Macaca fascicularis: one gene and its partners. The protein of the gene in region 4 purifies or fractionates together with the protein of the main gene of each other region. This does not show direct contact. Links are inferred from orthologs where the notes say so. Each region holds a gene or a part of one and is shown on either strand. Other genes may lie near its edges. The genes, in order: DNA polymerase delta catalytic subunit, CIAO3, CDKAL1, MMS19, PPAT, RTEL1 and POLE.

Region 1 (3,685 bases), on a different chromosome or scaffold from region 4:
CGATCGATCCTCCTGCCTCAGCCTCCTGAGTAGCTAGGACCACAGGCATACACCACCACACCTGACTAGTTTTTTAGATTTTTGTAGAGGTGAGGTCTTGCTATGTTGCCCCGGCTGATCTCCAACTCCTGAGCCTATGTTATCTTCCCACCTCAGTCTTCCAAAGTGCTGAAGTTACAGGCATGAGCCACCACACCCAGCCGGAAATAAATTATTTTATTGCTTATAGGTCCTGGGGCATACATGGCATGCCTGGAGGCCACACACACACACACACACACACACACACACACAGGTCAGGGAGTGCAGGCAGGGAGGGAGAGAGAGAGGGATCAGTGGACTGATGCCTTTATTGGGTCCAAGGTGTCAACCAAACAGGTTTCCTGAGGGGGGTTTTAATTGGTGGGTTCAGGCCAGGCACGATGGCTCATGCCTATAATCCCAGCACTTTGGGAGGCTGAGGCAGGAGAATCGCTTGAGCCCAGGAGGCAGAGGTTGCAGTGAGCTGAGATCATACCATTGCACTAGCTTACAGTAGCTTGTTGACTCAGCTACTGTAATCTTAGTAGCTGGGATTACAGGCATAAGCCACCACACCCAGCTAATTTTTGTGTTTTTAGTAGAAACGGGGTTTCATCATGTTGGCCAGGCTGGTCTCGAACTCCTGACCTCAAGTGATCCGCCCACCTCAGCCTTCCAAAGTGCTGGGATCACAGGCATGGCCCACTGCACCCAGCCTCCAACTTATATTTTAAATGAATGTCGAGGCAGCCTAAAATTATAAGAATTCAGTCAGGTGCAGTGGTTCATACCTGTAATCCCAGCATTTTCAGAGGCCGAGGTGGGAGGATCACCTGAGGCCAGGAGTTCAAGACCAGCCTGGGCAGCATAGTAAGACACCATCTCTACAGAAAATAAAACAATTAGCCAAGCCTGATGATGCATACCTGTAGTCCCAGCTACTGGGGAGGCTGGGGCAGGAGGATTGCTTAGGCCCAGGAGGTCGAGGCTGCAGTGAGCTGTGATTGCTCCTCTGTACTCCAACCTGGGTGACAGAACGAGACCCTGCCTTGAAAAAAAAAATTTAAAAAATGTCACTATGTCACCACCCCAAGGTCACACTGCTGTAAAATGGCAGAGATGGGATTCTTGTAGCCAGTGCCCTGCTCTGAAACTCCCAGTTATTGGCCGGGCGCAGAGGCTCACACCTGTAATCCCAGCATTTTGGGAGGCCGAGGTGGGCCGATCACCCGAGGCCAGGAGTTCGAGACCAGCCTGGCCAACAGAAACCCTGTCTCTACTAAAAATATAAAAATAAGCTGGGAGTAGTGGCGCATGTCTGTAGTCCCAACTACTCGGGAGGCTGAGGCAGAATTGCTTGAACCCTGGAGGCAGAGGCTGCAGTGAGCCGAGACTGAGCCATTGCACTCCAGCCTGGGCCACAGAGCAAGACTCTGTCTCAAAAACAAAGAAAAGCCTAGGAGCCCAGGAGTCAGGTGCCCTGGCCTTTCCCGGGACCCTGTCCCGGTTTGAGCTGAGAGGCTGGGAGACCAGAAGCAGGAGAGATAGCCAGGCCAATGCAACTGCCTCCAGATCTGTTTGCCTCTCCGTTATAATCCTTTGAGCAGCGCTGTCAACCCATTTCACAAACTCTTTCATCCATTAGCTCAACAAATAGGGAATATTACGTGCTGGCCACAAGGCAGAAGGCAGGACAGATGTAAATCTCGAACATTAAAGCACAGAACTCCGGAGGGGGCCTGGGGAGGACAGCTTCGGGCAGGGGGAGTGACTTGCCCCCGTGGTGAGGGGCGCAGAGCCAGGAGTATGTAACAGCCACTTCCTCACCCCACTTCTCAGATCCAGGAGATGGAGGCCGGGGCGGAAGTCTCGGAGGAGGGTGGATGGGGAAGGCGGGGCCTTAGGGACCCCTCGCCTAACGCGTGCCCCCGACCTCACCGCAGGGACCCGCAAGAAGCTGCGCCTGTACCAGTTCCTGCTGGGGCTGCTGACGCGCGGGGACATGCGTGAGTGCGTGTGGTGGGTGGAGCAGGGCGCCGGCGTCTTCCAGTTCTCCTCCAAGCACAAGGAGCTCCTGGCGCGCCGCTGGGGCCAGCAGAAGGGGAACCGCAAGCGCATGACCTACCAGAAGCTGGCGCGCGCCCTCCGAAACTACGCCAAGACCGGCGAGATCCGCAAGGTCAAGCGCAAGCTCACCTACCAGTTCGATAGCGCGCTGCTTCCTGCAGCCCGCCGGGCCTGAGCACACCCGAGGCTCCCACCTGTGGAGCTGCTGGGGGACCTCACGTTCCAGCCAGGATCCCCCTGGAAGAAAAAGGGCGTCCCCACACCCTACCTGATATGACTTATGCATCCCTACCTTTTGGGGGTAGGGGGAGTGCTGCCCTGCCATAATCCCCAAGCCCAGCCCGGGCCTGTCTGGGATTCCCCACTTGTATCTGGGGTCCTTCTGGGATTTCTTTGTCATGTACAGACTCCCCAGGATCCTCAGGTTTGGGGTGACAGGACCTATGGACCACTATACTAGGGGAGGCAGGGTAGCAGTTCTTCCAGAATCCCAAGAGCTTCTCTGGGATTTTCTTGTGATACCTGATTCCCCAGTGAGGCCTGGGACCTTTTTAAGATCCCCGTGTGTCTGTAAACCCTCAATCTCATCTGGGGTGGGGGCCCTGCTGGCAACCCTGAGCCCGGTCCAGGGGGCCCTCTTGTCGGATCTGAGATCTCCTCCTTATGTCTGGGGCCCTCTGGGAGCTGTTGTCATCTCAGATCTCTTTGCCCATCTATGGCTGTGTTGCCACATCTGTCTCCTCATCTTTGAGATCCCCCAATTCTCTGGAACCATTCTGCTGTCCCTTTTTATGTGTCTGGAGTTCCCCAATCACATCTAGGGCTCCTCCGAGATCCTTTTGTCATGTCTGAAATCACTCTTGAGAGGTCTGGGGTGCGGGGGGATGGGGAAGTCAGTGAAATGTGTCTTGTCTGGGCCCTGTCAGGGACACCCTTGTCATATCTGGGATCCTCTAATCACATCTGAGACCTCCTAGGCTGTCCATCTGATATGCCCTTTCAGGGACCCCACAAAGACTGAGTTCTCATGGGGACCCTACCCTTCCTGGTGGCCCTCCCTATGGCCATGCTGAGGACCACTCTGGCTACATGACTGATTTTTGGGTGATCATGGCAGCTCCCCACCCACGTCATTTCTAACCAGAGGTCTCAAGGTGGTCACCCCCTGCCCCCCAACCCAGGCCCCGGTCCCTGGTGATGGTCTCTTTAATTCAAAGTAGCATTTGGCGGTGGAGGTGTGAGGGATCCACATTAAAGCAGACCATCAGCTGGGAGTGGCTCACACCTGTAATCCCAGCACTTTGGAAGGTGAGGCAGGGGGATGGCTTGAACCCAGACATTCAAGACCAGCTTGGGCAACATAATGAGACCTCATCTCTACAAAACATTAAAAAAAAAAAATTAGCCGGGCATGGGGGTGCACACCTGTGGTCCCAACTGCTCAGGAGGCTGAGGTGGGAGGATCTCTTGAGCCCAGGAAGTCGAGGCTGTGGTGAGCTGTAATCGTGCCACTGCACTCCAGCCTGGGCGACAGAGTGAGACACTGTCTTAAAAACAAAAAAACAGGCCGGGCACGGTGGCTCATGCCTGTAATCCT
Region 2 (4,252 bases), on a different chromosome or scaffold from region 4:
CCTTCAGCTTTTTCCTGCCCCACAGCCCCGTGAGTGTGCACCGGGGCCAGCACCTGTCCAGGACCCCATGGGTGGGCGGGGTGGCAGCTGCTTTGCTGAGAAACCAGTGGCAAGCCTTATTCCTGTGATTCTGATGCACTAACCAAGTCGTACCAAAAAGTAGACTTTGATGGCATTATGAAACTCTAGAACGTGTGTGTGCATTTTTGTAATACATGTCTAATTTTTAAAAATTAAGCAGCACACAAGCCCAGCCAGCAGCCATGTTGGTTGTTGGTTATGAGCTGGACTCCACTATCCTCTGGCTCCATGTCCTCATGCAGAGGGGGCTCGCGGTGCGCACCGAGTTCTTCTCCCTTGTAGGACGGCGGGACCCGGAGGCTGGAGAAGGCCAAGGTCTCCCTAAACGACTGCCTGGCGTGCAGCGGCTGCATCACCTCTGCAGAGACCGTGCTTATCACCCAGCAGAGCCACGAAGAGCTGAAGAAGGTTCTAGATGCTAACAAAGTAAGTGGTGGGCGGCCAGAGGACTCTGCTTTAACCTGAAATCCACCCCAGCAGCCGAGGCATTTTGCCAAGGGCAGCTTGTGTGGTGCCGCCTGCAGGTGGCACCTGCCTTTCTGAGGCTTGGGATCTTGGTGATTTACCTGTCAGTTGGTGCCAGTGGTGAACGTGTCAGGCCCGGAACTTCAGGTTCTAAATATACATCAAAATGACACCCTTGCCGGGCGCAGTGGCTTGCACCTGTAATCCCAGCACTTTGGGAGGCTGAGGCGGGTGGATCACCTGAGGTCAGGAGTTCAACACCACCCTGGCCAACATGGCAAAACCCCGTCTCTACTAAAAATACAAGAATTAGCCAGGTACGGTGGTGCACACCTGTAATCCCAGCTACTCGGGAGGCTGAGGCCGGAGAATCACTGACAGAAGTTGCAGTGAGCCAAGATCATGCCATTGCACTCCAGCCTGGGTGACAGAGCGAGACTCCATCAAAAAAAAAATGATATCCTTGGCCAGGCACAGTGGTTCACACCTGTAATCCCACCTACCCAGGAGGCTAAGGCAGGAGAATCCCTTGAACCTGGGAGGCAGAGGTTGCCGTGAGCTCTGATCGCAGCACTGCACTCCAGCCTGGGCAACAGAGCAAGACTCTGTGTGGGGAAAAAAAAAAAAAAAAGACACTCTTGATAGAGCTGGCATGCCCTCTCCACAGCCGACGGCATCTCACCGGGCAGCTCTGGGCACCAGGAATCAGCATAAGGCCGGCAGAGTAAGCAGCGTCTTCCCCTTGCTTTGCAGATGGCGGCGCCCAGTCAGCAGAGGCTGGTTGTAGTCTCAGTCTCGCCACAGTCTAGAGCATCGCTGGCTGCACGGTTTCAGCTGAATCCTACAGACACTGCCAGGAAATTAACCTCATTCTTTAAAAAAATAGGTAGGCTTTGAACCTGGGGTAACACTGCCACTCCACACCAAGGGGGCGTCTGAGTGAGCCCAGGCTCCTCGTGCCTCTGAGTCACTGACATGCCACCCAGCCCTGAACTTCAGTGCTACAGAAACTTTATTCCCTCTGTGACCTCAGCCTGAAGTTTTGATTTGACATTTGAGAGCAGCGCCTTCTCACAGAAATCGTCTGCATTCTGACTGTGCACTTTCTGTGAGTTGGGGCTGACCAACTCCTTGTACTTTTTAGCTGATGATATTAAGGCACTCTCTCCGGGGCTCCGCTGGGTTCAGCTAAGGCCAGCTTCGGCGGACTTCGGTTGTGTGCCTGGAGCTGGGCTTGGGTGTCTTGAGAGGCCCCAGCTAACCAGCTCCTGTGCCCGGTGGCTCACTGGGAATGAAGGGGCTGGACCTCATGGCTACTGTGTGCCTTTCATGGGTAACCGCCACGTCCAGTCCCTTCGTTCCCAGTGAGGCAGGACTGTGTGCTTTGTACCCGGCAGACTGCCTGTCATCCAACTGTGTCCCGGGTCCCTCACATTGGAAACCTGTTGACACTGGCAGGTGCCCCGTGGCTCTTGTCTGACCCACACCCACGTCCAGTTGGTGTCTGAGCAGTGCTCTGGCACTGGGAGCCTGACCTGGTGTCTCAGGGGAAACCTGGCCTGGGGCAGCCCGTAGTTCTCCAGGTGGAAGGTGTGGGTTTCGTCCCCACCGGAATAGGAAGCAAGTTCAAAGATTTTTACTTACAGATCACGGGCAGGTGGGGCACAGTGAGTCCGAAGGCCGTCTTCCGACCATGGGTTACATGAGGCAGGAATGACAGGTCAGGCAGAGACAGAGGGACCCACGTGCTGGTGCCTCTGCTGGGGTCCAGGGCACGATCAGGCAGGTTTACCAAGCAGTTCTAATTGCTGGGCTTGGAGCCGGCGGGCCTGTCCCAGGAGTCCTGCCGTGTGTGAGGGGCGGCCACTGTGGCAGGTCTGCACACTCAGGGTCCGAGGGGCCAGTCCAGCAGGCCACGTCCAGCTGTGCCCTAGGGAGGGTCACCGGGAGCAGTGCACGTGGCAGTTCCCTGGACCAGCCTCGCTAAGGAGCTGGGAGGGTGGAGGACTGAGCTGCCGAGCGGCTGCCCTGCCTCTGGGGTGGGAAAGCAAGCCCTGCATTCGCAGGGGATGCCGAGGCAACGCGGCTTAAGGAGGTCCCCACGGTGGGGCCGGGGCTTTGGCACGGGAAGCGGGTGCCACACACGTCCCCCAGCAGCACCACGGTGGTCCACACACAGGCGTGTACTCGCGTGGGCGTCCCGCGCGGGGCTAGCCAGGCACCCACCTTCACCTTCCAGGGGTGCACTTTGTCTTCGACACCGCCTTCTCAAGGCACTTCAGCCTCCTGGAGAGCCAGCGAGAGTTTGTGCGGCGATTCCGAGGACAGGCCGACTGCAGACAGGCCCTGCCCCTGCTGGCCTCCGCCTGCCCAGGTGTGCTCATGGTGCGGGTGGTGTGAGAGTCAAGTTCGAGTTAAGTTAAAATGTGACATGGTATGGACACGGATGACAAGGCGGGGGATAGGGGGTGGAGACGCAAGCCGGTTTCGCAGGACGGGTTAGAAATGTTGGCACAAATGGCCTTTTGTGGAGAAGGGGCTGCCCTCCCTTGGGAGCCACCCACAGTCACCTCAGGTCCCTAGGCGGTGTTGCGTGCACGCCGAGCTCCACGTGGTGGTGGGAAGAACAGGAACGAGCACTCTTTAATGTCATCATGATCTCCCGTATGAGCGGACCCGCCTCCAGAATGTCGTGCTGCTGCCTGTGGGTGCGGGGGCCGCCGTGCGCCCCCGCCAGCCCCGTGTGCCCCTGTCGCCTCAGGCTGGATCTGCTATGCCGAGAAGACGCACGGCAGCTTCATCCTCCCCCACATCAGCACCGCCCGGTCCCCGCAGCAGGTCATGGGCTCCCTGGTCAAGGACTTCTTCGCCCAGCAGCAGGTAACGGCGTTGGGCCGCCCCAGGCTCAGGCTGGGGAGCGGCCAGACGTGATTATTCTGGCTGTTTGCCGCGAAGCCGCAGGAAACAGTCCTCGCCCTGGTGTGTGGCCTTCCCGAGCACACCTCCACCCTTGTTCCCTCCTAGTTCAGGCCACTCCTCTCCTGCTGGGCAGCACAGGGCCACGTTCTGATCCACAGCTGCTCACTGCTCACGCAGCGACAGCCAGGCCTGGGGCTGAGGGAGCAGGAGGCCCTCGGGCAGCCCCGGCCACCAGATCCACAGGGTGCCCAGCACGACCCCCACCTGAGGCCCCGCGGGACTGAAGCCTGACGACACTCAGCCAGTGGGGGGCGGGAGAGGGTGAGGGTGGCCCTGGTGGTGCCTGGGCCCGGAGTGCCCATGTCCCCTACAGCACCTCCCGCCCGAAAACACGGATTTTCACCTGGGGCTGGGGCTGGTTGGTTCCCCTGTGACATCCGTTTCCCCGGCTGGTGTGCAGCGAGAGGGCCTGAGCTGTGGGAAGGCCACTTCTCCTCCTTTGGACTTGGCTGTTAGGGAGTGCAAGCACGCTGGGAACGGGTCAGTGTCGTTTTCTGTCGCAGCCAGGGCCTGTCCTGTCCAGGGGCACATCCACAGAGCCAGCAGGAGGCTTCCTGGGAAAGGGAGTGAGGCTCACTGTCCCTCGGGGTCCGGCCTGGCTGCAGGATGGCTGAGTTCCAGGTCACGCCTCGGCCACCGTACTGCTGGGATTGGGGAGACGTGTGTTTGTTTTCCCTCGTAGCGCTTGACTCCTGACAAGATCTACCACGTCACGGTGATGCCCTGC
Region 3 (4,833 bases), on a different chromosome or scaffold from region 4:
AGACAATCCAGGTCCTACTTTTGGTCTAGTGAAAGAGATGGAATTAAATGGGTTTGGTGGTGTGCCCGTGTAGTCCTACAGCTACTTGGGAGGCTAAGGCATGAGAATCTCTTGAGGCTAGGAGGCGGAGGTTGCAGTGAGCTGTCATTGTAACACTGCACTCCAGCCTGGGTGACAGAAGAAGACCGTATCTAAAAAAAAAAAAAAAAAAAAAAAAGTAGGGCAACATAAATACACAATTTTAATTCAGATGGGTAAAGACAATAGTGGATCCCAGGGCACTGTTTAGATTATGTTATGGATATGAATAAACAGAGAAAAGGGTGGCTTTTTTTCTTAAAAATATATTTTAGAGACAGGGTCTCACTGTGTTGCCCAGGCTGTTTTCAAACTTCTGAGCTCAAGTGATCCTCCCACATCAGCCTCTTGAGTAGATGGATGGCATTTTAATGAGATGAAATTGTACTAGCAGAAGCATTTGCAAAACAAAGTAATTGCCCCAAATCACTGTGAAACCCTAAGTCAGGCATTAAACTCACGATTTCTGACCCTTGTTCACGAACTACTGCCTCCTATTGCCTTTACTTTTTTAAGTAAAGATATTCTTCTGGTAAACGCATGGTCAAATACAGTGTCTTGGGTAATGAATACTAAAGTGAGATAACATATGTGGAGCAAGCGGGTGAGAATTCGTATTCCATGAAAGTATTTTCTTTTTTTTTTTTTTGAGACGGAGTCTTGCTCTGTCGCCCAGGCTGGAGTGCAGTGGCCGGATCTCAGCTAACCGCAAGCTCCGCCTCCCGGGTTTACGCCATTCTCCTGCTTCAGCCTCCCAAGTAGCTGGGACTACAGGCGCCCGCCACCTCGTCCGGCTAGTTTTTTTTTGTATTTTTTAGTAGAGACGGGGTTTCACCGTGTTAGCCAGGATGGTCTCGATCTCCTGACATCGTGATCCGCCAGTCTCGGCCTCCCAAAGTGCTGGGATTACAGGCTTGAGCCACCGCGCCCGGCCGAAAGTATTTTCTTTCCATAGGTGTCTGCTAAACTACCATCTAAGTTTTCCAAAACAAAAAACAAAAAAACTTGCGTGGTGGTAAATAATGTATATTAAGCGAAACCTACCAACTGACCTTTATCCTTTCCTTCCTGTTTTTTAATATTAAAGAAGAGACCTCTTCACAAACGATTGAGGAGGCTAGTAAAATGCAGTGAAAAGAGCAAGTTCTTTGGGAGTCAGACAGCATCGGATCCAGCCCACGGGGCAGCACGACTAGTAGAGTAACTTAGATTAAGTCCTTAAACTTCCAGTGTCCGCTTTTGTAAAATGGGAATAATAACAATAAATAAATAGTGAAATAATGTTTATGCAAAGTACTTAGCACAGTGTCTAACACATAAGAGCTTAGGAGAAGTTGGCTATTAAGCGTATCTAGGAACCCGAGGACTTGGGGTTGTTATTTTAGTTCTTGGAATCAAAGGAACTTGAAGCGTAATCATTCCTAAACTAAGTTAAACCAGAACCAGCCCTTTCAGCAATGATGTAATTTGATCTCTTCGGGCCACCGTCGCTGAGCATGCGTAAATAAACGTGGCGGGACGTATGTGTCATGGCGCTCTCCATCTAAAGTCTGTGCAGTTTCCGGAGAGTGGCGGGTTGATTCTCTCACTTTGGACTGGTTTTTACTTCCCGACTTCTGGGTAAGGGTGGCGGTTGGGTCCATGTGGGGCAGAGTGTGGCGACGGCTCCTTTTATGGCAAGCCTTGTTTCTCCAGTTTCAGTCTTTCTTGGGCTGTTTGCAAAATTGTTTCGCAGTTAAAAGGGGGATTTGCCAGCTGGGATGGGGGAATTGGGAGGCAGATGGGGCTTCCAGGAGCGAGGGTAGGGTCGTTGGCCTCAGGTGCCGCTCTCCAGTTAGTAATATTTTGGGCACCTCGTTCCTTATTGTCAAATTTAACTTCATTTGTTCTCCCACTTTATACCTTAGTGAATTTGTAGATGTGACAGGGCTTTCGCAGTTACATAGCTTTCCCAGATCAGTATCTTAAGAATTTAAGCAGAAGTTATTGAGAAAAGCAGATGTCTTGCTTTTTCACTTTTCGTTCTTCTTTGCTCATAAAACCTTTTTCTGAATCTCGGGACGACAGTTATCTTTCGAATGGAACGTGATCTGGATGTCTGCCTATTTACTGACTTATTCCTGTTTTGTAGTGGTTGGTTACTCGCACTATGCAGACGTGTTGTAGTGCTGAATACAACATTACTACAGACACTGGATCACAGTCACGGCAGATGTCAGCACACCTGTTGTAATCAGTAAGAAGTTACAAGTAGTATGGAGCATCATTAATCCTGCTGTATAAAGCAGTCTTTTTTGGAGTCTGATTCCTTTTAAGTAAAGAATCCTTACAGTGGTTTTGTGAACTTCTTTGGTGCTTGCTTTTCCTAATCAATTTTTATTTTCCAGACTCATCTTTCAAGAGGACTTTAGACTAATTGCAGATAATTAAGGTACTGATTTATTTTAAACCTTTTATGTTTGAGTGCTGTACATATTTCTGCATATTAGAAAATGCAGAGAGGTAGCTTAATTTCTTAGCTATTTGCCACTATCGTGTTATGGAACCATTGTCCTTTACATACCACTAAATTGAAGAGATATTTTCATTTATTTTACTTAACCTTTCGTTTTCATTCACCAGCATTGACCATGTCCACTTTTTTGACATGCCCTCTTCCTTTGCCTTCCATGGCCCATGGATTTTTTTCCTTCTCTGGTGGCTGCTTCTTGGAATCCATTATAAGCTGATTTTCCTTTATATGAGAGTTAAATTTGGAGTCTCTCAAGTCGTGGTCTTGTACCTTCTCCTACCTCTGTTCTCTTTTTCTTTCCCTCTGGGTGATGTAATCCACATGCCTGTCAACAATTATTTGTCTTTTTGATTCTACCTATCCTAATGGGTATGAAATGGTATATTATTGTGGTTTGGATTTCCATTTCCCTGATGGCTCATTATGTTGACATCTTTTCACGTGCTTATCAGCCATTTGTATGTGTGTGTTTTTGAGACAGGGCTTCCCTGTGTCACCCAGGCCAGAGTGCAATGGCTCGATTACAACTCACTGCAGCCTTGACCACCTGGTCTCAAGTGATCCCACTTCAGCCTCCCAAGTAGCTGGGACTATAGGTGCATGCCACCATGCCCGGCTAATTTTTACTGTTTTTTTTTTTTTTTTTTTTTTTTTTTGTAGAGATAGGGTCTGTGTTGCCTAGGCTCTGGCCCTGTACTCCTGGTCTGAAGTGATCCTCCCACCTTGACTTCCCAGTGTTGGGATTATAGGCATGAGCCACTGCACCTGGCCCATTTCTATATCTTCTTCATCTAATCTGTTTTTCCTTTTGTTGCTTGTGCTTTTGGTTTCTTAGCTAAGAAAGGAGGGCCTACTCTAACATCATAAAGATTTGTACTTATGTTTTTTTCTAAAAGTTTCATAATGTTAGCTCCTAAATTTAGGTATTTGATCCATTTTCAGTTAATTTTTTGTATATGATGTGAAATAGAGCTCCAACTTTATTTTTTACATGTTGCTATCCAGTTGTCCCAGCATCATTTGTTGAAAAAAACCTATTCTTTCTCTGTTGAATTGTCTTGGCATCTTTGTTGAAAATCAGTTGACTAGGTTATGTATATTTGACATGCATTCTAGGTGGTTTTTATGAAAGAATAATTCTGGGACAGTGATTGTCAAACTTTAATTCAGATCAGAATCACCTAGAGGGCCTGTTAAATATTGCTAGGTTTTACTCAAAACATCTGATTCAGTATGTCTGGAGTGGGGTTCAAGAATTTTCATTTCTGGCTGGGCATGGTGGCTCATACCTGTAATCCCATACTTTGGGAGACCAAGATGGGAGGAGTTTGAGAGCAGCCTGGACAACAAAGTGAGACCTTGTTTTTACAAAAAAATTGAGAAAGAAAGAAAAAATGTTCATTTCTGACAAGTTCCCCATGATGCTACTCCAGCTGATGTGGAAATTACACTTTGAAAACTACTGGACAGGCCGGGCGCGGTGGCTCAAGCCTGTAATCCCAGCACTTTGGGAGGCCGAGATGGGCGGATCACGATGTCAGGAGATCGAGACCATCCTGGCTAACACGGTGAAACCCCGTCTCTACTAAAAAATACAAAAAACTAGCCGGGCGCGGTGGCGGGCGCCTGTAGTCCCAGCTACTTGGGAGGCTGAGGCAGGAGAATGGCGTGAACCCGGGAGGCGGAGCTTGCGGTTAGCTGAGATCCGGCCACTGCACTCCAGCCTGGGCGGCAGAGCGAGACTCCGTCTCAAAAAAAAAAAAAAAAAAAAAACTACTGGACATTGCTTTGCAACTGTGGCTGTACACATGAGAATGACTGGAAAGTTTTAAAAAGATATTGAGGCCCAGGCTCCATTCTCAGAGATTCATTCCGCTATCTTGGGGCTTAGTTGGGAATTTTCTTTTTCTTTTTTTTTTTTTTTGAGACAGAGTCTTGCTCTTTTGCCCAGGCTGGAGTGCAGTGGCGTGATCTCGGCTCACTGCAAGCTTAGTTGGGAATTTTCAAAAGCTCTTCAGGTGAATAGAATGAGTGTTCAAGATTGAGAACCATTACTGTAGAATAGTGGTTCTTAATTAGGAATCTATAGTGGAATTATCTGGACAGTTTCTAGGTTCACGTGCTTCACTACTCTTGGAGATTCTAATTCAGAATGGAACCTGGAGATTTGCTACGATAAAAAACTTCCCGCCGGGCGCAGTGGCTCACGCCTGTAATCCCAGCACTTTGGAAGTCGGGCGGAT
Region 4 (4,252 bases):
CTAGGCAAAATAAACTTACAGATAATATTAGGAAAGTTTCTCTCATTCAAGCAGTTTTTGTATGTTGTTCTGCACTGCAGTCTGTCAGAAGCAGAAAGCTCTTATCAAGATATTAATTAAAACAGAGGCACCTGGCTTTAGTGTAACTATTTGAGTTACAGATATTCTTTGTCTTACAAATCAGGGTTTTTATTGTTGTTGGTTCTGTTTTGTTTCGTTTTTGAGACAGGGTCTCACTCTGTTGCCCAAGCCGGAGTGCAGTAGCACAATCCTTGCTCACTGCAACCCCTGCCTCCTGGGTTTAGGTCATTCTTGTGCCTCAACCACCTGAATAGCTGGGATTACAGTACGTGCCACCATGCCCGACTAATTTTTTTTTTATATATTTTTAGTAGAGATGGGGTTTTGCCATGTTGTCCAGGTTGGTCTCGAACTCCTCACCTCAACTGATCTACCTGCCTCAGCCTCCCAGAGTGCCGGAATTATATGCGTGAGCCACCACGCCGAGCCACAACTCAGTATCGATCGTGTGCCATCATAGTGGATCTGATCAGTTTAGGGTTCAGTTTCTTCACTATGCTTATATGCTCACTCTAAGAAGAGGCTGGCAAACTTTTTCTTTTTTCTTTTTCTTTTTTTTTTTTTTTTTGAGGCAGGCTGGAGTGTAGTGGCACCATCACGGCTCACTGCAGCCTCCACCTCCCTGGACTCTGGTACTCTGGTGATCCTCCCACCCCTGCCTCCTGAGTAGCTGGAACTATAGGCACACGACACTACTCCTGACTAATTGTCGTATTTTTCTATAGAGACAGGATTTTGCCTTGTTGCCCAGGCTGGTCTTGAATTCCTGGGCTTCCACCTGCCTTGACTTCCCAAAGTGTTGGGATTACAGGCATAAGCCACCATGCCTGGCCAACGTTTTCTATAAAAGGCCAGACAGTAGCTTTGTGGGTCATATGGTCTCCTCAACTCTGCTGTTACTGCACAAAAACAGCCTTAGAGACAAGAACAGCTACAGTAGCTATATCCCAATAAAACTTTTATTATCAACACTAAACTTTGAATTTCATACAATTTTCACTTGTCACAAGATATTCTTTTGGTTTGTTTCAAACATTAAAAATGTTAAAACCATTCTTAGCCAAACAATGTCAACAGGTTGATTTTTACTCCTAATGCAGAGTAGATATTGGATCTTCCTTCACCGTCATCCTAGATTCCCTTATCATTTTTCTTGGATCAGATCTCCTATTTCCTGAGTTCACATATTCCTCATTTTGTGGTTTACCCCCTCAGTTTGGTGGTGTACTTCCTTTAGTATTTTCCTGTGAGAATGTAGGAAGAAGTGAGGATTTTTTAGATTTGTAAGCCTAAAATGTCTTCAATCTTTTCTCTCATTTTTGACATTATGGGTATGTAATTCAGGAATAGAAATTCTAGGCCAGGTGCAGTGGCTCACACCTGTAATCCAAGCACTTTAGGAGGCTGAGGTGGGAGGATCACTTGAGGTCAGGAGTTCGAGACCAGCCTGACCAACATGGTGAAATCCCGTCTCTACTAGAAATACAAAAATTAGCCAGGCGCGGTGGCAGGCGCCTGTAATCCCAGATACTTGGGAGGCTGAGGCAGGAGAATTGCTTGAACCTGGGAGGTGGAGGTTGCAGTGAGCCAAGATTGAGCCACTGCAGTCCAGCATGGGTGACGGAGTAAGACTCCATCTCAAAAAAAAAAAATAAATAAATAAATCCCTTCTTTTACTGTGTTTTTGGTGGAGTTTGCGAAGAGGAAAAGGAAAACCTGATTTATGTTTTCAATCTGTCGTCTTGGTACAGAAACCATCAAGGCTGTCTGTTTTCAGAATTACAGCTTTTTATAAGGGTGAAAAAAATGGAAATGTCCATCAACAAGGAATTATTTAGATAAACTGGTACAACCACAAAATGAAATCATAGCCACTAAAACTAATGCTATGAAAGAATAATACCATAAAAATGTTCTTAATATGTTAAGTGAAAAAAATTAAAAACTGCATGTACAAAATTATCTTTAAGTATACAGAAACAGTATATACTAGCACATAGTAACAATATATATCAGAGAAGAAAGCAATACACGAGAAAGTTAAGCATGCTTATCTCTTAGTGGTGAAATGATAGAAAAATGTGTAATCAGATCTTTAAAAATGCCTAAAGATAAAAGTTCCCAGGCCGGGCGTGGTGGCTCAAGCCTGTAATCCCAGCACTTTGGGAGGTCGAGACAGGCGGATCACGAGGTCAGGAGATCGAGACCATCCTGGCTAACACGGTGAAACCCCATCTCTACTAAAAAATACAAAAAAAAATTAGCCGGGCGAGGTGGCGGGCGCCTGTAGTCCCAGCTACTTGGGAGGCTGAGGCAGGAGAATGGCGTGAACCCGGGAGGCGGAGCTTGCAGTGAGCCGAGATCCAGCCACTGCACTCCAGCCTGGGCGACAGAGCGAGACTCCGTCTCAAAAAAAAAAAAAAAAAAAAAGTTCCCAAGGAATACATAAAAGGTCAAGCATGTCTTCTTGCTGAGGCATCATTATCTTACTGTCTTCCCTGATTGGGTATGAGTATCACCCTGTTCTACAGGGTTACCAGGTTCAAGCCTGGGTTCAAGGGTGGTCTGAAATGTTACACAAACCCACAGCCCTTCTCCCTTTTCCAGCCACCTAATGACCCCCATGGTATCCAGAGAGAAGACCTCATCCTGAGTCTTCGCGCTGTGCTGGCTTCTACACCACGATTCGCTGAGGTGGGTCTAGCCAAATTAAGGTGTATAGCCTCTGCCCATAGAAGGTTCTGAAGAAAGAGCAGTAAAAGCATGGAGAAAAAAAGATCTGGTATACATTTTAGGGCATGACACCCTACAAGTGTCTTATGTGGCAGGTATCTTCAAACCTTCAATATAGAAAACTTTAGCATCTCTTCATAATCCAGAGCTGGATTCAGTGGCGCACACCTATAGTCCCAGCTACTCAGGAGAGTCTGAGTGGAAAGGATCACTTAAACCCAGGAGTTCAAGTCCAGCCTGGGCAACATAGGGAGACCCCGTCCCCTCTTACACAAAATAAATAAATAAATAAATAAACCCAATCCTTATATGGTGCTGTCTTTTAAAATCCTGTAACTTTGTCAGCTTGCCTGTTTTTGAGGTAGTGGGGCTCTGGCCACTGCTTGGCAGGAAGTTAGCTCACATTCATAGCTCCTGACTTCAGTATAGCTCCTTGATAAGTAGTACCTGCTTCTGAGGACTTGATGTGACTGACATACTACCCATCTCAGGCTTAAGATCTTGCTTCTGTCCCACAGTTTCTGCTGCCCCTGTTGATTGAGAAAGTGGATTCTGAGGTTCTGAGTGCCAAGTTGGATTCTCTACAGACTCTGGTGAGTGATTTTTCTCCTTGCAGGACCCAGCTACCTTTTGACAAGTTAGGGGTACTAAAGGATATAGATTCTTGGATAGCCAAGAAACAGTTCATGGGCCTCAGAAGAGGACACCCAGGATTTGGGCCTCTGTGTCGACCTGAAGCCCCCAGCTGCATATTGTCGTGTCCCATCCCATAGTAACTGAGGAAAGGCTGACCAGCACTCCCTCTTAGGCTTCTATTTTATCAACCAGGGTAATCTCCTATTTTTCTGTTCCCTGAGTAGGACTGTTAAAAATCTTCACTGGTTTTTCTGCTGAGACCAAGGCTCCTCCAGGTGTCCTTATGCTGAGGTACCTGCACATCCTAGGTGTCTGAGTGTGCACATAACTGATAGCAGCGGTTTCCTTGGCAGAATGCTTGCTGTGCTGTGTATGGACAGAAGGAGCTGAAGGACTTCCTCCCCAGCCTTTGGGCTTCTATCCGCAGAGAGGTGAGTGTTACTCAGATAAATTCACTACTATTAACTCTCAATTGTCAGGCATGAGGGGAAATAATACATCCTGTCCTTTTCCCTCTGTCATCCCCAGGGCCAAGGTATTATGCCTGGTTATTCAGGAGGCAAGCAGGGGGACATAATTCTAGTTGAATGACGAGAGAGAGTCCCTATGTGACAGTCAGCTGCTTGGTAAGAGCAGTTGATCACCTTTGCACATTACCCACTTCTTGTCCTTCTGTGGCAAGGAGTGCAGGTTATGGTGCCTCTGGCACCGTGGTGAATAGAAAGGTGAGCAGAGCCACTGCTCAGAGTTGGCTTTCTGTTTCTCAGAAAGTGTGTGTCTCTGTCCTGAGTGTGACTAAGGA
Region 5 (4,252 bases), on a different chromosome or scaffold from region 4:
TTGTATTTTTAATAGAGATGGGGTTTCACCGTGTCAACCAGGATGGTCTCGGTCTCCTGGCCTTGTGATCCACCCGCCTCTGCCTAGAAGTTAATCTTTAACAAAGGTCATCACTTGAGAAGGCAGGATGTTATCACCTCTGTTGTCTTTTTTTTTTCTTCTTCTTCTTCTTGGTTCACTGCAACCTCCGCCTCCCAGATTCAAGCGTTTCTCCTGCCTCAGCCTCCTCAGTAGCTGGGACTACAAGCGTGTGCCACCAGGGCCAGCTAATTTTTGTATTTTTAGTCGAGACAGGGTTTCACCATGTTGGCCAGGATGGTCTCCAACTCTTGACCTCGTGATCTGCCCGTGTCGGCCTCCCAAAGTGCTGGGGTTACAGGCGTGAGCCACGGCGCCCGGCCGTCTCTGATGTCTTTTAATTCTCTCTAGTCATTGTATAGAACAAGAAAAATAAGAAAGTGAGTTAATCTATAGTCTGAGAAACAGAAGTTGTAACCATATGTGACTTGGATCACAGTCATATCTCTCTCAAGGCCTAAAGTATATTTGGGGTTCCAGTAGGTTTTAAATTATTTATTCTTACAGCATAAAATGCTTAGGACATGTTAGTTAGAATTAGATATCTAGTTGTTACATTGTCATCTGCTGTGATTGCTAATCATCAGCATCAGCATCATCAATAGGAGTAGTACTAGTACAAGTAGCATTTAATGTGTTGTCACACTAAGTTCATGGGTGCTTGTCGAGAAAGTATGCTTGATAAAGTTCTTCAAGAAGCTCATCAATTGGCAGATTTAACAGCTAATATCTTTTTATATTCACAGGGGTCAGGAGAGTGCCGGTATTGTGACTAGTGACGGGAGTTCAGTGCCAACATTCAAATCACACAAGGTAAATTTGAACTTTAAGAAATCTTGATGACAGGCTGGGTATGGTGCTTCATGCCTGTAATCCCAGGACTTTGGGAGGCCAAGGCAGGAGGATCACCTGAGGTCGGGAGTTCGAGACCAGCCTGACCAACATGGAGAAACCCTGTCTCTACTCAAAATACAAAATTAGCCAGGTGTGGTGGCGCATGCCTGTAATCCCAGCTACTTGGGAGGCTGAGGTAGGAGAATTATTTGAACCTGGGAGGCGGAGATTGCGGTGAGCCAATGTCACACCATTGCACTCCAGCCTGGGCAACAAGACTAAAACTACGTCTCAAAAAATAAAATAAATAAATAAATAAGTGAAAGAAATGGGATGACAAAGATAACAAAAGACAGGTGATCATTAATATGGGGGGGTTGAATAAATAATTTGCAGTCAAAAGTGATATTCTTTGGATCAGCCACTTTCAACTTTATATCCTAACATTTATCAAATTAGGATGTATTTCTTCCCCAGTGACAATTTTTTGCCTAAGACCAACTCAAATAGGGAGTCATTTATTTAAATGCTTTAAGATGCTTTGATTTGTTTAATGCAAATCTTAGTTTTTATGCTTGACAAATTGTATTGCTTAGTACATCTGTTCTTAAATGTTTTAGTGAATAGTATCTTATGAAACACAAGTGCTTCAACATTGTGAAGGTATTAAATGCCACTAAATTTTTCTCTGTAGAATGGTTAATTTTATGTTATGTGACTTTTGCCTCAATAAATTTTTTTAAGTAAGTGCTTCACAGTTCTTACAGTTAGGTTATTTGTTTTTGGCCTTTTTTTAAGATTAGAATTCTGAAACACAGAGAAATTAAATGCACTTCTTTGTCTTATTTGGATTGGCTGAGCAGAAAAGAGAGGTGTTTATTACTAGCAGTACTAGTCTGTTTTTTTCTAAGTTGCACTTTTTGATTTCTCAAGGGAATGGGTCTTGTAAATCACGTCTTTACTGAAGACAATTTGAAAAAATTGTATGTTTCAAATCTTGGAATTGGACACACAAGATATGCCACTACAGGAAAATGTGAATTAGAAAATTGTCAGCCCTTTGTTGTTGAAACACTTCATGGGAAGATAGCTGTGGCACATAATGGTGAATTGGTAAATGCTGCTCGATTAAGGAAAAAGGTACATTTGTTTGTTTGTTTTCCCTAAGCCTTTTAAAATGATTAGCATGGGTTAATGAATAAAAGTTAAGGATCTTTGTAAAAGGCATTTTCTAATTGTTGCTACCTGTTACCTAACTGCAACAACAATTGCATCAGAATGATCTGGAGTACTTGTTACAATTCCAGATTGTAAGATGTCCCCTAGAGTTGGAGACAAGGGTGAGAATATGCATTTTAGACTCACTTTTTGAATGCACTGCTCTAGAGATTTGGGAGAGTTGATTTATGGTTGGAAGCATAGAGAAATTAGAGTTTATGGACTTGCTATCTCTTTAACTCTGTTGCTATGTACAAAGCTCGTATGAAATAAGAAAAACCAAGCGTTTTTCCTATTCTCAGACTCAGCACACTTCTGTGGCCAAATAGGGGGGTTTCTTGTACCAGCCAATTTTCCAGAGGATACGAAATGGGTATCCTATAATTCAGTTGTATTCTGATAGTACCTGGAGGTAAAGTCAGGTTCCAGAAGTTAAGGGCTCAATCCCACAAGATTGTCCCCCACTTCAGATGCTAGTTGCAAGTCCAGGCCTCTGGTACATCTGACAACCAGTTATAAATTGGGAGTTCCTGCAACAGCCCTGGCACTGCCTTTGGTTTCAAACATCACAAAACTCAAGAAAGTACTTTGTATACATTTACCAGTTTATTATGAAGGATGTTACAAAGGCTACAGAAGAGCGGTCTGGTGAAAAGATGGAAAGGGCAGGGTATGTGGGAACGAGCATGGAGCTTCCATGCCCTTTCCAGGGGCACCACCTTCCAGGCATCTCCAACTGTTCAGCTATCCAGAAGTTCTCTGAACCTAGTCATTGTGAATTTCTATAGAGGCTTCATGAAGTAGGCATGAATGATTAAATCATCAGCCACTGGTGATCAGCTTAACCTTTAGCCTTTCTCCCCGAAGCTGGAAGCTCCAACCCTCTGGTTGATTCCCCTGGCAACCAGCCCTCATACTGATGCTATGTAGGAACCCCTAGCTACTGGTCATCTCAACAGCATACAAAAGGACACTTATCATTTTGGCAATTCTAAGGGTTTTAGGAGCTGTGTACCAGGAAAGACCAGGATAAAAATCAACATATATATTTCTTCTTATATGTCACAAAATCATAAAAATAAAATGGAGTATAAACTTGGAGATGACATAAAAAAATGAATTGGAAACAATGACAGAAAACTAGAGTATGGGAAAAGGGAGAGAGTGTTTAAACTCTTGGTTCACAGCATGTTGTTTGGAGCTTTCTGTGCTAATGATGTCAAATTTGTGCCTATGCTTTCATTCATCATTTTATCTTTTTTTTTTTTTAAACTGCCTGTCTTTATATTCATTCCTAGTAGCTTCCTTTTATCCATTCAGGCATTCATTCATTAATGTTGGGTTTCTTCAGTTTATTAGCTCCCAATCATCTTGACTTGGTAACCTCAGAACCTGGTGATATTTAGTAATAGATTGTTACCCACATGCTCCATCATCCTATAAGCATTCTAGAGCTGGGCAATTCACATATGATGAACAGTTACAGAAGCTGAATAATAATGAATTGCCGGGTCAAAAATATCTAGAAACTAGGCTTTTGTACCATTCATTGTCATTCTATTTTCAGTTCTGTCTTTAGACATTTCCTAGAGCTTTGTCCAGCCCTGTTTGTAGGCATTATAATGACCTTATTGTGCTTTTCTGTCCCCAAATGAAAAAATGTATAGTTCATTTAAAAATTCAGACAATCATGAACGTATAAATATGGAGTAAAAATTTCTTAAAAATTCACCACTTAGAGATAACCACTAACTCACCGTTTCCTGACATTACCCCTTACCCAGATGCTAAACTTCATCTCTACTTTTAGCTCCCTACTGAAAATGTTCTGTAGTGCCCATTCAGACTCAATCTGTGCATGTCCATGGGGCTGCCCTTGTCCTGGTCAGTCTTGCTCAGAACTTTGTAATTATCATAGAGTACACTCAAGCGATATTTATTGCATCTGCTACATTTCGTTGTTCAATACAGTTGATTCCTTTCTTCTATCAGTAATAATTAGTGAGGATGGGTAGCCACCATTATGATCACTAACAAACCCAGCTTGAAAGTTAACACTGTAGTGTACTACTTTTATAGGAATATACCCAGTTCATCAAGAGTGTTGAGGGTAGAAAAGGTC
Region 6 (4,252 bases), on a different chromosome or scaffold from region 4:
AGTCCCCAGGGTTGGGAGGAGCTGAGTCATCTCCCAGTGGCTACTTAGAGCAGCAGCCAAAGGAAATTCCAAACCAATGGGGTGAACAGGATTTGGTTCCAGAGTGTGGACACTTCTCCATACTGGAGCCTGGGAAGCCACATTCCAGGGAGGGGCAGGCCCGGGCCAGCTCACACCTGCCCTCCAGGCCCTGGGCTGCAGGGCTGCCTCGATGGCCATGTGCTGGAGGTGCTTTGAGTGACCCATCAGGACATGGAAGCAGGTCCGCCTGGCAGGTGCACGGCCTCCTGCTTGAAGAGCCAACCACGCTCCAGGTGGGACGGCAAAGCAGCCCTTGGCAGGCAGGAGCCACAGAGAGAGGGGTCTGGCCCTGGGATGCCCACCGTGCTTTTGGGGAGGAGCTGGGAGACATAGCAGTGCCGTCTTTCCAGCCCCAGCTGCCACACAGAGAAGACACTGGCTGTGGCATCACTGGCCGCAGAGAAGGCCACAGTGGAGGTAGGGCTGAGCCTGGGCCCTACCACCTGCTGTGCCCACCCCACCTGGTCCCTGCCCAGGTCTCGCCCCCGCTCAGAGCCACGTCTATGAAGAAGGCAGTGCCTGGTCGTCCTGGGGCCTGCAGCTCCACGCCCAGTAGCATGCACAGAGCACCGCACTGCATGCACAGGCCGGCCGTACATTCCAGGGTTCTTCTGCGGCCTCCCCCAGCTCAAGCACCCCCCACCCCAGGCGGACACTCACGAAGTTGTCACAGAGCTGGGCAGCCCCACCTAACCCTGCCATGACCTCGTGTGGCCAGGAGGTTCAGTGTGGGCAGCACAGAGGCAGCCTCACACGGCTCCACACAGCCACCTGTGCCTCGGTTTCCCCAAGGACTGATGGCCTCCCAGTCAGGGACTTGTGGGTCTGCTTCTAAAAAATGCACCGAGGTCCAGGAGAGGCAAGTGTGTGCCCAGAGCACCCAAAAATGGGGCTTGCCCTCCACAAACCGCACAAGCCCCTCTGCCTCAGGGAAAGCAGGTGCTGCCACAGGCACAGAGCCAGGAGCAACCTCACATGGGAGGGGACGGGCATCGCAGGGCAGGACGGGGCCAAGAAGGGGGCCAGGGCCGCATCCCCCATCATGGGCTCGCAGGGACACCCCCGCCGGCAACCTGCAGGGTCCCCGTTTGTCTGTCCCTGGAGAAGCTGTTCAGGAAGCTACGTGTGTCCAGAGCTCTTCATCTGCGTGCAGCTGGGGCTGCCAGGAGTGGGTCCCCCCTGGCCTGAGGGCCCGGACAAGGCAGGAGCGGCTCCCTGGCCCCCACTCCCCTTCACGTCCTCCCCCACCAGCATCACCCTGGGCACGTGCCACCAGACCTCGTCCTCCCCCATCCCCGCGGGAGGCCCAGTGTGGGTTTGGGTCACAGGAAAGGAGCCAAGCGTTTGCCTATCGGAAACAGGTGGTGTGGGGGCCGTTCTCCCACCCCCACATCTAGAGTCAGTAACTAATACAGCAGGAGAAGGCACCCGCCCAGCTTCCATCAGGGAAGGAGACGCCGGAGGAGCAGGCCCCACCTGGATGATGTCCGCCAGCTTCTGCAGTCCGGCCGTGTTGGTGAACACTCCAGCACCTGGGGAGGTAGCATGCCGGGCGCTGACACCCGCACTGCAGGCAGGGGAGGCCCCGACCCCAGCCCCCGCCCTTCCAGCCATAAGCCAGCTCAGCCCGACTGCCAAGCTCCATCTCCTGCCCAACGGAGGGCCCAGGGTGGAGCGCAGTGTCCACTCAGGGCGGGCAGCTCGCCTGCCCTTCCCAGCAGCCAGGAGAGAAGCCATGCAGGGACAGCGTCTCCAAGGGGGCCGGTGGAACTTGAAAAGAGGCTCTATGGTCACCTAAGGTTTGAAGCAGCAAGAGCCGCCCTCCCCAGCACCTGGGAGCACAGCAGAGGCCCCAGCGGGCCGGCATCTCAAACCAGAGCAGCCCATGACGACACTGCCTCTGGGCAAAGCCTCTGGACCCCACAGCTCTGAGAAGCAGAACTCAGGGTGTGTGGAGAAGCCTGAGGCCCCACAACCCAGCCAGGGCCTTGGGCTGCTCTTCCTTAAAAGGGGAATAATGGGATGAGTCTGCAGGACGAAGCCGCCAGCTGCAGAACTGGGACAGGCTCTACGGCAGTGGGCAACCGGCACTAACGCCTCCACGCCCCGATCAGGTGAGGTTCTGTGAGCCTGTTCCTGCTGACGGCCAGGTGATGGCCAGGCGAGCCCTGACTGCCAGGATGGAGGCCTGCTGCACCCCCTACGCCACGTCTGCCCACACCAAGGACCCCGCCCTGGCACTCACGTCCGGCCAGGTGCTGGATGATCTGGTCCAGCGAGTCCAGGATGCAGCCCTTGGTCTGAAACGTGATCCGGGCTTCAGCAAACAGCTCAAAGATGTAGCTGCGAGGAGAAGAAGGCAGGCTCGAGCCTGGACAGGGGATCAGGCTGCAGCTTTGGGAATTGAAGGCAGCAACTGTGGAAGCTTCCTTCCCTCCGAAACAAACTGAGCCCTCCAGGGGACGCCGGCATTGGGGGTGAGAGGCCTCCGCCCTCAGGAGCCTCCAGATGGGAAGAGGAGGCCTGGCCGGCACAAGAACAGCACCAAGGAAAAGCCGCCTCAGGGCAGAGGCTGTCATCAGAGGGAGGGATGGGGTCGCCGGGGGGTCGTCAGGGGCTTCTGGGAGGCAGCGGCTCTGGGCAGAGTCCCCAAAGCCTTGGGAGAGTGACAGTGATGGCGGCAGCAGAAGCTACAGGAGGGGCCCCTGGGGGTGCAGGTGGCCGAGGAGCCACGCCAGAGCCTTGAGCATTACGCTGAGGACACTGGCTCCACCTGGAAGCAACTGGGAGTCGCCACAAGGTCGGCGCTCAGGCAGAACGCGCTCGCCTTGGCGGCTGTGCACTCAGTGGAGCCCCACACGGGCCCCAGGCCTGACCCTCATCTGCCTGCAGGACAGACAACAAATGCTGCTGCCCTGGCCACGGAGAAGACAGGAGACCCACGGAGCCTTCAGAATGTTCCGGGCCTCCCGGAGTCCAAAAGAGGTGGTGGCTGGGACACTCATCGTCCTAACAAGAAGGTCTCATTCTAACAGGCACCTGAGGAGGTCCAGGGAAAGGCCTGGAGGAGGACAAACTGCAGGAAACCCAGCGGCCCCGCATGGGAGTGTGTGCTGTTCCGTGGGTGTGTGTGCTGTTCCGTGGGTGTGTGTGTGCTGTTCCGTGGGTGTGTGTGCTGTTCCGTGGGGGTGTGTGTGCTGTTCCGTGGGGGTGTGTGTTGTTCCGTGGGAGTGTGTGTTGTTCTGTGGGTGTGTGTGCTGTTCCGTGGGGGTGTGTGTTGTTCCGTGGGGGTGTGTGTTGTTCCGTGGGTGCTGTTCCATGGGGGCGTGGGTGCTGTTCCATGGGTGCTGTTCCATGGGGGCGTGGGTGCTGTTCCGTGGGTGCTGTTCCGTGGAAGCATGTGCTGTTCCGTGGATGTGTGTGCTGTTCCGTGGGCGTGTGCGCTGTTCCGTGGGAGTGTGTGCTGTTCCGTGGGCGTGTGTGTGCTGTTCCGTGGGTGTGTGTGTGCTGTTCCGTGGGTGTGTGTGCTGTTCCGTGGGAGTGTGTGCTGTTCCGTGAGGGTGTGTGTGCTGTTCCGTGGGGGTGTATGTTGTTTCGTGGGAGTGTGTGTTGTTCCGTGGGTGTGTGTGCTGTTCCGTGGGGGTGTGTGTTGTTCCGTGGGGGTGTGTGTTCCGTGGGTGCTGTTCCATGGGGGCGTGGGTGCTGTTCCGTGGGTGCTGTTCCGTGGAAGCACGTGCTGTTCCGTGGATGTGTGTGCTGTTCTGTGGATGTGTGTGCTGTTCCATGGGCGTGTGTGCTGTTCCGTGGGCGTGTGTGTGCTGTTCCGTGGGCGTGGGTGTGCTGTTCCGTGGGTGTGTGTGCTGTTCCGTGGGAGTGTGTGCTGTTCCGTGGGGGTGTGTGTGCTGTTCCGTGGGGGTGTGTGTTGTTCCGTGGGAGTGTGTGTTGTTCCGTGGGTGTGTGTGCTGTTCCGTGGGGGTGTGTGTTGTTCCGTGGGGGTGTGTGTTGTTCCGTGGGTGCTGTTCCATGGGGGCGTGGGTGCTGTTCCGTGGGCGCTGTTCCGTGGAAGCACGTGCTGTTCCGTGGATGTGTGTGCTGTTCTGTGGATGTGTGTGCTGTTCCGTGGGCGTGTGTGCTGTTCCGTGGGAGTGTGTGTGCTGTTCCGTGGATGCGT
Region 7 (4,252 bases), on a different chromosome or scaffold from region 4:
GGACTGTCACATGCTAAACCAGCCCCAGCCTCCTGGCCTCCCTCTCCAAGCCAACTGCTGAACGTCAGAGCTAAACAAACACATTCAGGCTTCAAGCGCTCCAATGGCACTGTGCAGAGTACAGAGGTCACGGGGGCCCTCCTTTCCTTTCCTTCCCTCCTTTCCCTTCCTTCCCTCCTTTCCCTTTCTTCCCTACCTTCCCTTCCTTCCTTCCCTTCCTCCCCTTCCTTCCCTTCCAGCCTTCTTCTCTTGGCATTTCCACATCCACCTGTCCTCCCAACCAGACATGTCAGAGCCCCCGAACGCCGTGATTCTCAGCAGCTTTGAGCTGCCTCCCACCCCAGCTCATCTGGAATCTGCGCTTGTCCTGTGAGGCTCGTCCTGTGAGGCAGCTGGGCTGCCACATCCCAATCTGGCCTGGGCAGTGCAGCTCCATGAGGTCCTAGCTCTGGGACCTGTGTGTTGAGTGTGTCTTCCCGGTGGCTACCCCACCCCAGAGGCTGATGCTCAATGTGCCTGATCACTGACGAACTGTCAGCCAACAGTCAAAGACAGCACATCCTGGGCCCCGGCAGGGTTGTAGCTGCCATCCTCTTGGGTGACCTGAAACACCTCTCAGAGGCCACCCTCCTCCCATGAGATGTGGTGACAGTACAGTCTGCAAGAGGCCTTCAGATCTCGCTCGCAGACAGCAGTGATGAGCCGTGCTGCTGTGCAGCCCCTACCTGAGGCAGTCCATGTGGATGCACTGGGGCGCCTTGTACTCCCCCTGGCTGTCCTTCTGGAAGCCTATCTCCTGCTGCATGCTCAGACCGTGGACTGCTGCCCGGGCCTCCACAAATGGCCTGGGTTCGAAAGAGGACAGACAAGCAAGTGGGAAGATCAGGCTCTAATTCCCCTTTCTCCATTCCTCCCTCAGATCCAGGGAGGAACCGAGACACGGGAGGTGCAGAGTGAACCCAGAAGCCACCTCCTCAGTCAACATGGGAAGCGCCCCGCACCATGCAATGCCCTCCCTCTCAAACGCTGCCCAGTTACTCACAGAGAAGACACAGACTCACCAGTCAAAAAAGTCCCCGTTGTAGGTGACCATGATGGTGGGTTTGGTCTCCTGGACGTGTTCAAACCACCTTTGGATCAGATGAGCCTAAACCCAAGTCACAGCAGTCAGAGGTCTGCTCTTTCTCTTCTTCAAGCTATTTCCAAATTCCTCCCCCAAAGTTCAGAAGCAGCAGCCTCATGCTGGCCCTTATTCCTGACCCCAGCCCCAGTTTCTGGCAGAAAAGAGGGTCATACCCTAAGAACGAAGCTGATGGAGCTGCAATTCTGATCCGACGGAATGCCGAGGCCTTGGAAAGATCCGCATGCCCCTTCTTCCCACAATACCAGGCAGTTTCACAAGTGATACCTCCTTACCTCATCGGGTTCATTGAAGACACAAAACGGCCCTTCATATTCTGGCTTGGGGGTGAACTCAAAATCTTCAATATCTTCTGAAACAATCTCCCTGTTGGTGATGAGGTAGCCCTAGTGAAGTTCATTAGCAATTAGCACAAGTCAGAGGCTGCAAAGCCAAGACCTGGTGTCCCCACCCTGCCCACACACTCTGCCTAGAGATTCTCACTACAAAGAAGTCCACAGCAACGTGAAAGTGCCCTAAGCTTCCTGAGAAGAGATCCTCCATGTCTGGATTCCCACTGGAAAGGAGAGGGTACAGTTGGAAGTCGGAACGGCCTGGCTGCTCCCATTCCTGGACTAACTTATTATTCACTCAACACATCCTAACTGTGGGGCAGACGCTGCTGTAGTATGGGGACCAGACAAGGTCCCCATCCCAGGAGCTTTCTTCCCAGAAGCCGCCTGCTCACCTGGCCGTCGATCATGTAGGAAATCATCATAATCTGGTCTGTCTCAGCATCAGGAAACTTGAGGGGCAGTTTGGTCGTCTCAATGTCAAACGCCAAAACCACAGGGTCCTGTGGGGACAAAATAAGCATAAAGCCAAGCTCTAAACTCCCCATCAGGCCTCCCTGAACACCGGCCCCCGGCCTGCTCTACCTCCCTCTGGTTGTTAAGAGTGAAAAGGCTCCAGAGCTGGGAGAGGGACCCTAAGACTGACCAACCTACGTCAAGAGCATCACGACTCTCTATGGTGTGGAAACTTACACACCTAAGAGAGCAGCTGATCACAGGACAAGCCTAAAATCACAGAACTTTAGTAGAAAAACTCTTTAGAAGGCCGGGCGCGGTGGCTCACGCCTGTAATCCCAGCACTTTGGGAGGCCGAGGCGGGCGGATCACAAGGTCAGGAGATCGAGACCACGGTGAAACCCCGTCTCTACTAAAAATACAAAAAATTAGCCGGGCGCGGTGGCGGGCGCCTGTAGTCCCAGCTACTCAGGAGGCTGAGGCAGGAGAATGGTGTGAACCCAGGAGGCGGAGCTTGCAGTGAGCCGAGATCGCGCCACTGCACTCCAGCCTGGGCGACAGAGTGAGACTCCGTCTCAAAAAACAAAAGAAAAAAAACAAAAAAAAAGAAAAACTCTTTAGAAGACATCACCTCATTCTGATGGTTATGACAACCCTGAAAGGTAAATGTGGCACAGAGATGATATCTTCGTTTCGGAAAAGAGAAAACTGAATACAGACTTTCCCAACACCACAAAGTCATATTTGAACCAAGGCCTTCTAGTTACAAATCCATTTTTCACCATGTCTCTTCACTATCAACTACCCAATGGAAGTCCTAGCTTTCCCTCAAATGTCCAAATCCTGCCTAGCTCAAATACTGATGTCATGCAGTGATATACAACAAAAAAGGACATGATACTGTCAGAAACTGATGAAAAACTAACTCCATATTTCCTTTAATAAAGTATTTGGGGGGAAAGCAGGAAACATATCTTTGAGTCAAATTTACTCTTCAGCACTAAAGAATATTCTCTCCAGAAAACCAGAAATTTTACGATGAAGGTAATACAAGCAACAAAACTTACAGGTCGTTCAACAAGGTCATCTCGGCGGGTGATTTCCACAGGAAAAGCGTTTCCACGGTATCTGACATTGTACCAATGAGCCTGCAAAACACACAGTGTGTTAACTGGAGTTCTACATCCGGGAAAGTCTACTCCTGTGTGGATTCACCCATAATGATCATCTCCTGGCTGTTAGGAAATTCATGTGAGCAGCAACCCAACCCTGCCCTACTCACCACATGGATCTTCAGGTCAATGGAGAGGCGGATGTGGTAGGGAACATCGTACTCGCGCATGTCCACAATGTTGTCCAGCTGATCAGCTATCTTCTTAGAGGTTTCCTCTTCATCAGTAATGACACCACCCCTCTGCAGAACACTAGGAATTAACAAGAGAGCAACTAACTCAGCTGCCAGGGTCTGGAGGAGGTGGGACCAGAGTTCCAAATCAGTAGCAAGAGATGAGACCAGAGTCCAAACTGAGGAAACACAAAAGGTAAACTGAGGTGGTTTCAATGACCAGGGCAGTCCTTCCTTTAAGAATGGCTTGGATTGGGCCGGGCATGGCAGCTCACGCCTATAATCCCAGCACTTTGGGAGGCCAAGGAGGGCGGATCACCAGAGGTCAGGAGTTTGAGACCAGCGTGGTCAACACGGTGAAACCCCGTCTCTACTAAAAATACAAAAATTAGCCAGGCGTGGTGGTGCACGCCTGTAATCCCAGATACTTCGGAGGCTGAGGTAGGAGAATCACTTGAACCTGGGAGGTGAAGGTTGCAGTGAGCCGAGATTGCGCCATTGCACTCCAGCCTGGGCAACAGAGCTAGACTCCGTCTCAAAAAAATAAAGAATTGCTTGGATGATAACCCTACAGACAGGAAAAAAATTCAGGGTAAGATGTATGCATTTTATGTGATGTGAGTTACACCCCAACTAAAAAAAAAAAAAAAGAGGGCCAAGCATGGTGGCTTATGCCCCTAATCCCAGCACTCTGGGAGGCAGCAGGTACACTTAGGCCCAGGAGTTCAAGACAGGCCTGGGCAACATAGGGAGACTCATCTCTACAAAAAAAAAAATAATAATAATAATTAGCCAGTCATGGGGTACACACCTGTGATCCCAGTTACTCAGGAGGCTGAGGTGAAAGGATTGCTTGAGCCCAGGAGTTTGAGGCCATGGTGAGCTATGACTGCACCACTGCACTCCAGCCTAGGCAACAGAGCAAGACCCTGTCTGAAAATAAATAAGCAAATAGAAGAAAAAAGAAAGAAAACATTA

What was found.
Region 1: the proteins of MMS19 (region 4) and DNA polymerase delta catalytic subunit purify together in Homo sapiens (affinity purification with western blotting; 3 studies listed by BioGRID and IntAct, with this or other methods). This does not show direct contact. The link is inferred for Macaca fascicularis from reciprocal best matches to the Homo sapiens genes MMS19 and POLD1.
Region 2: the proteins of MMS19 (region 4) and CIAO3 purify together in Homo sapiens (affinity purification with mass spectrometry; 3 studies listed by BioGRID and IntAct, with this or other methods). This does not show direct contact. The link is inferred for Macaca fascicularis from reciprocal best matches to the Homo sapiens genes MMS19 and CIAO3.
Region 3: the proteins of MMS19 (region 4) and CDKAL1 purify together in Homo sapiens (affinity purification with mass spectrometry; 4 studies listed by BioGRID and IntAct, counting the BioPlex papers as one, with this or other methods). This does not show direct contact. The link is inferred for Macaca fascicularis from reciprocal best matches to the Homo sapiens genes MMS19 and CDKAL1.
Region 5: the proteins of MMS19 (region 4) and PPAT purify together in Homo sapiens (affinity purification with mass spectrometry; 3 studies listed by BioGRID and IntAct, with this or other methods). This does not show direct contact. The link is inferred for Macaca fascicularis from reciprocal best matches to the Homo sapiens genes MMS19 and PPAT.
Region 6: the proteins of MMS19 (region 4) and RTEL1 purify together in Homo sapiens (affinity purification with western blotting; 4 studies listed by BioGRID and IntAct, with this or other methods). This does not show direct contact. The link is inferred for Macaca fascicularis from reciprocal best matches to the Homo sapiens genes MMS19 and RTEL1.
Region 7: the proteins of MMS19 (region 4) and POLE purify together in Homo sapiens (affinity purification with western blotting; 3 studies listed by BioGRID and IntAct, with this or other methods). This does not show direct contact. The link is inferred for Macaca fascicularis from reciprocal best matches to the Homo sapiens genes MMS19 and POLE.

Annotation. Positions count from the first base shown.
Region 1 is NC_088393.1:58,334,736-58,338,420, forward strand, and holds the end of DNA polymerase delta catalytic subunit, read left to right. Parts: intron 1-1,964; coding exon 1,965-2,263; 3' UTR 2,264-2,918; downstream 2,919-3,685. UniProt on the Homo sapiens protein: As the catalytic component of the trimeric (Pol-delta3 complex) and tetrameric DNA polymerase delta complexes (Pol-delta4 complex), plays a crucial role in high fidelity genome replication, including in lagging strand synthesis, and repair.
Region 2 is NC_088394.1:1,490,195-1,494,446, reverse strand, and holds part of CIAO3 (cytosolic iron-sulfur assembly component 3), read left to right. Parts: intron 1-363; coding exon 364-507; intron 508-1,213; exon of another isoform or gene 1,214-1,299; coding exon 1,300-1,432; intron 1,433-2,785; coding exon 2,786-2,920; intron 2,921-3,307; coding exon 3,308-3,426; intron 3,427-4,207; coding exon 4,208-4,252.
Region 3 is NC_088378.1:152,419,180-152,424,012, reverse strand, and holds the start of CDKAL1 (threonylcarbamoyladenosine tRNA methylthiotransferase), read left to right. Parts: upstream 1-1,578; 5' UTR 1,579-1,698; intron 1,699-2,465; 5' UTR 2,466-2,509; intron 2,510-4,833. UniProt on the Homo sapiens protein: Catalyzes the methylthiolation of N6-threonylcarbamoyladenosine (t(6)A), leading to the formation of 2-methylthio-N6-threonylcarbamoyladenosine (ms(2)t(6)A) at position 37 in tRNAs that read codons beginning with adenine.
Region 4 is NC_088383.1:106,423,762-106,428,013, reverse strand, and holds part of MMS19 (MMS19 nucleotide excision repair protein homolog), read left to right. Parts: intron 1-2,688; coding exon 2,689-2,775; intron 2,776-3,332; coding exon 3,333-3,407; intron 3,408-3,803; coding exon 3,804-3,881; intron 3,882-4,252. UniProt on the Homo sapiens protein: Key component of the cytosolic iron-sulfur protein assembly (CIA) complex, a multiprotein complex that mediates the incorporation of iron-sulfur cluster into apoproteins specifically involved in DNA metabolism and genomic integrity.
Region 5 is NC_088379.1:77,459,810-77,464,061, forward strand, and holds part of PPAT (amidophosphoribosyltransferase), read left to right. Parts: intron 1-824; coding exon 825-891; intron 892-1,845; coding exon 1,846-2,052; intron 2,053-4,252. UniProt on the Homo sapiens protein: Catalyzes the formation of phosphoribosylamine from phosphoribosylpyrophosphate (PRPP) and glutamine.
Region 6 is NC_088384.1:119,795,741-119,799,992, reverse strand, and holds part of RTEL1 (regulator of telomere elongation helicase 1), read right to left. Parts: intron 2,425-4,252; coding exon 2,327-2,424; intron 1,614-2,326; coding exon 1,558-1,613; intron 1-1,557. UniProt on the Homo sapiens protein: A probable ATP-dependent DNA helicase implicated in telomere-length regulation, DNA repair and the maintenance of genomic stability. Acts as an anti-recombinase to counteract toxic recombination and limit crossover during meiosis.
Region 7 is NC_088385.1:139,788,359-139,792,610, forward strand, and holds part of POLE (DNA polymerase epsilon catalytic subunit A), read right to left. Parts: intron 3,354-4,252; coding exon 3,212-3,353; intron 3,078-3,211; coding exon 2,997-3,077; intron 1,977-2,996; coding exon 1,869-1,976; intron 1,528-1,868; coding exon 1,417-1,527; intron 1,148-1,416; coding exon 1,062-1,147; intron 846-1,061; coding exon 726-845; intron 1-725. UniProt on the Homo sapiens protein: Catalytic component of the DNA polymerase epsilon complex. Participates in chromosomal DNA replication.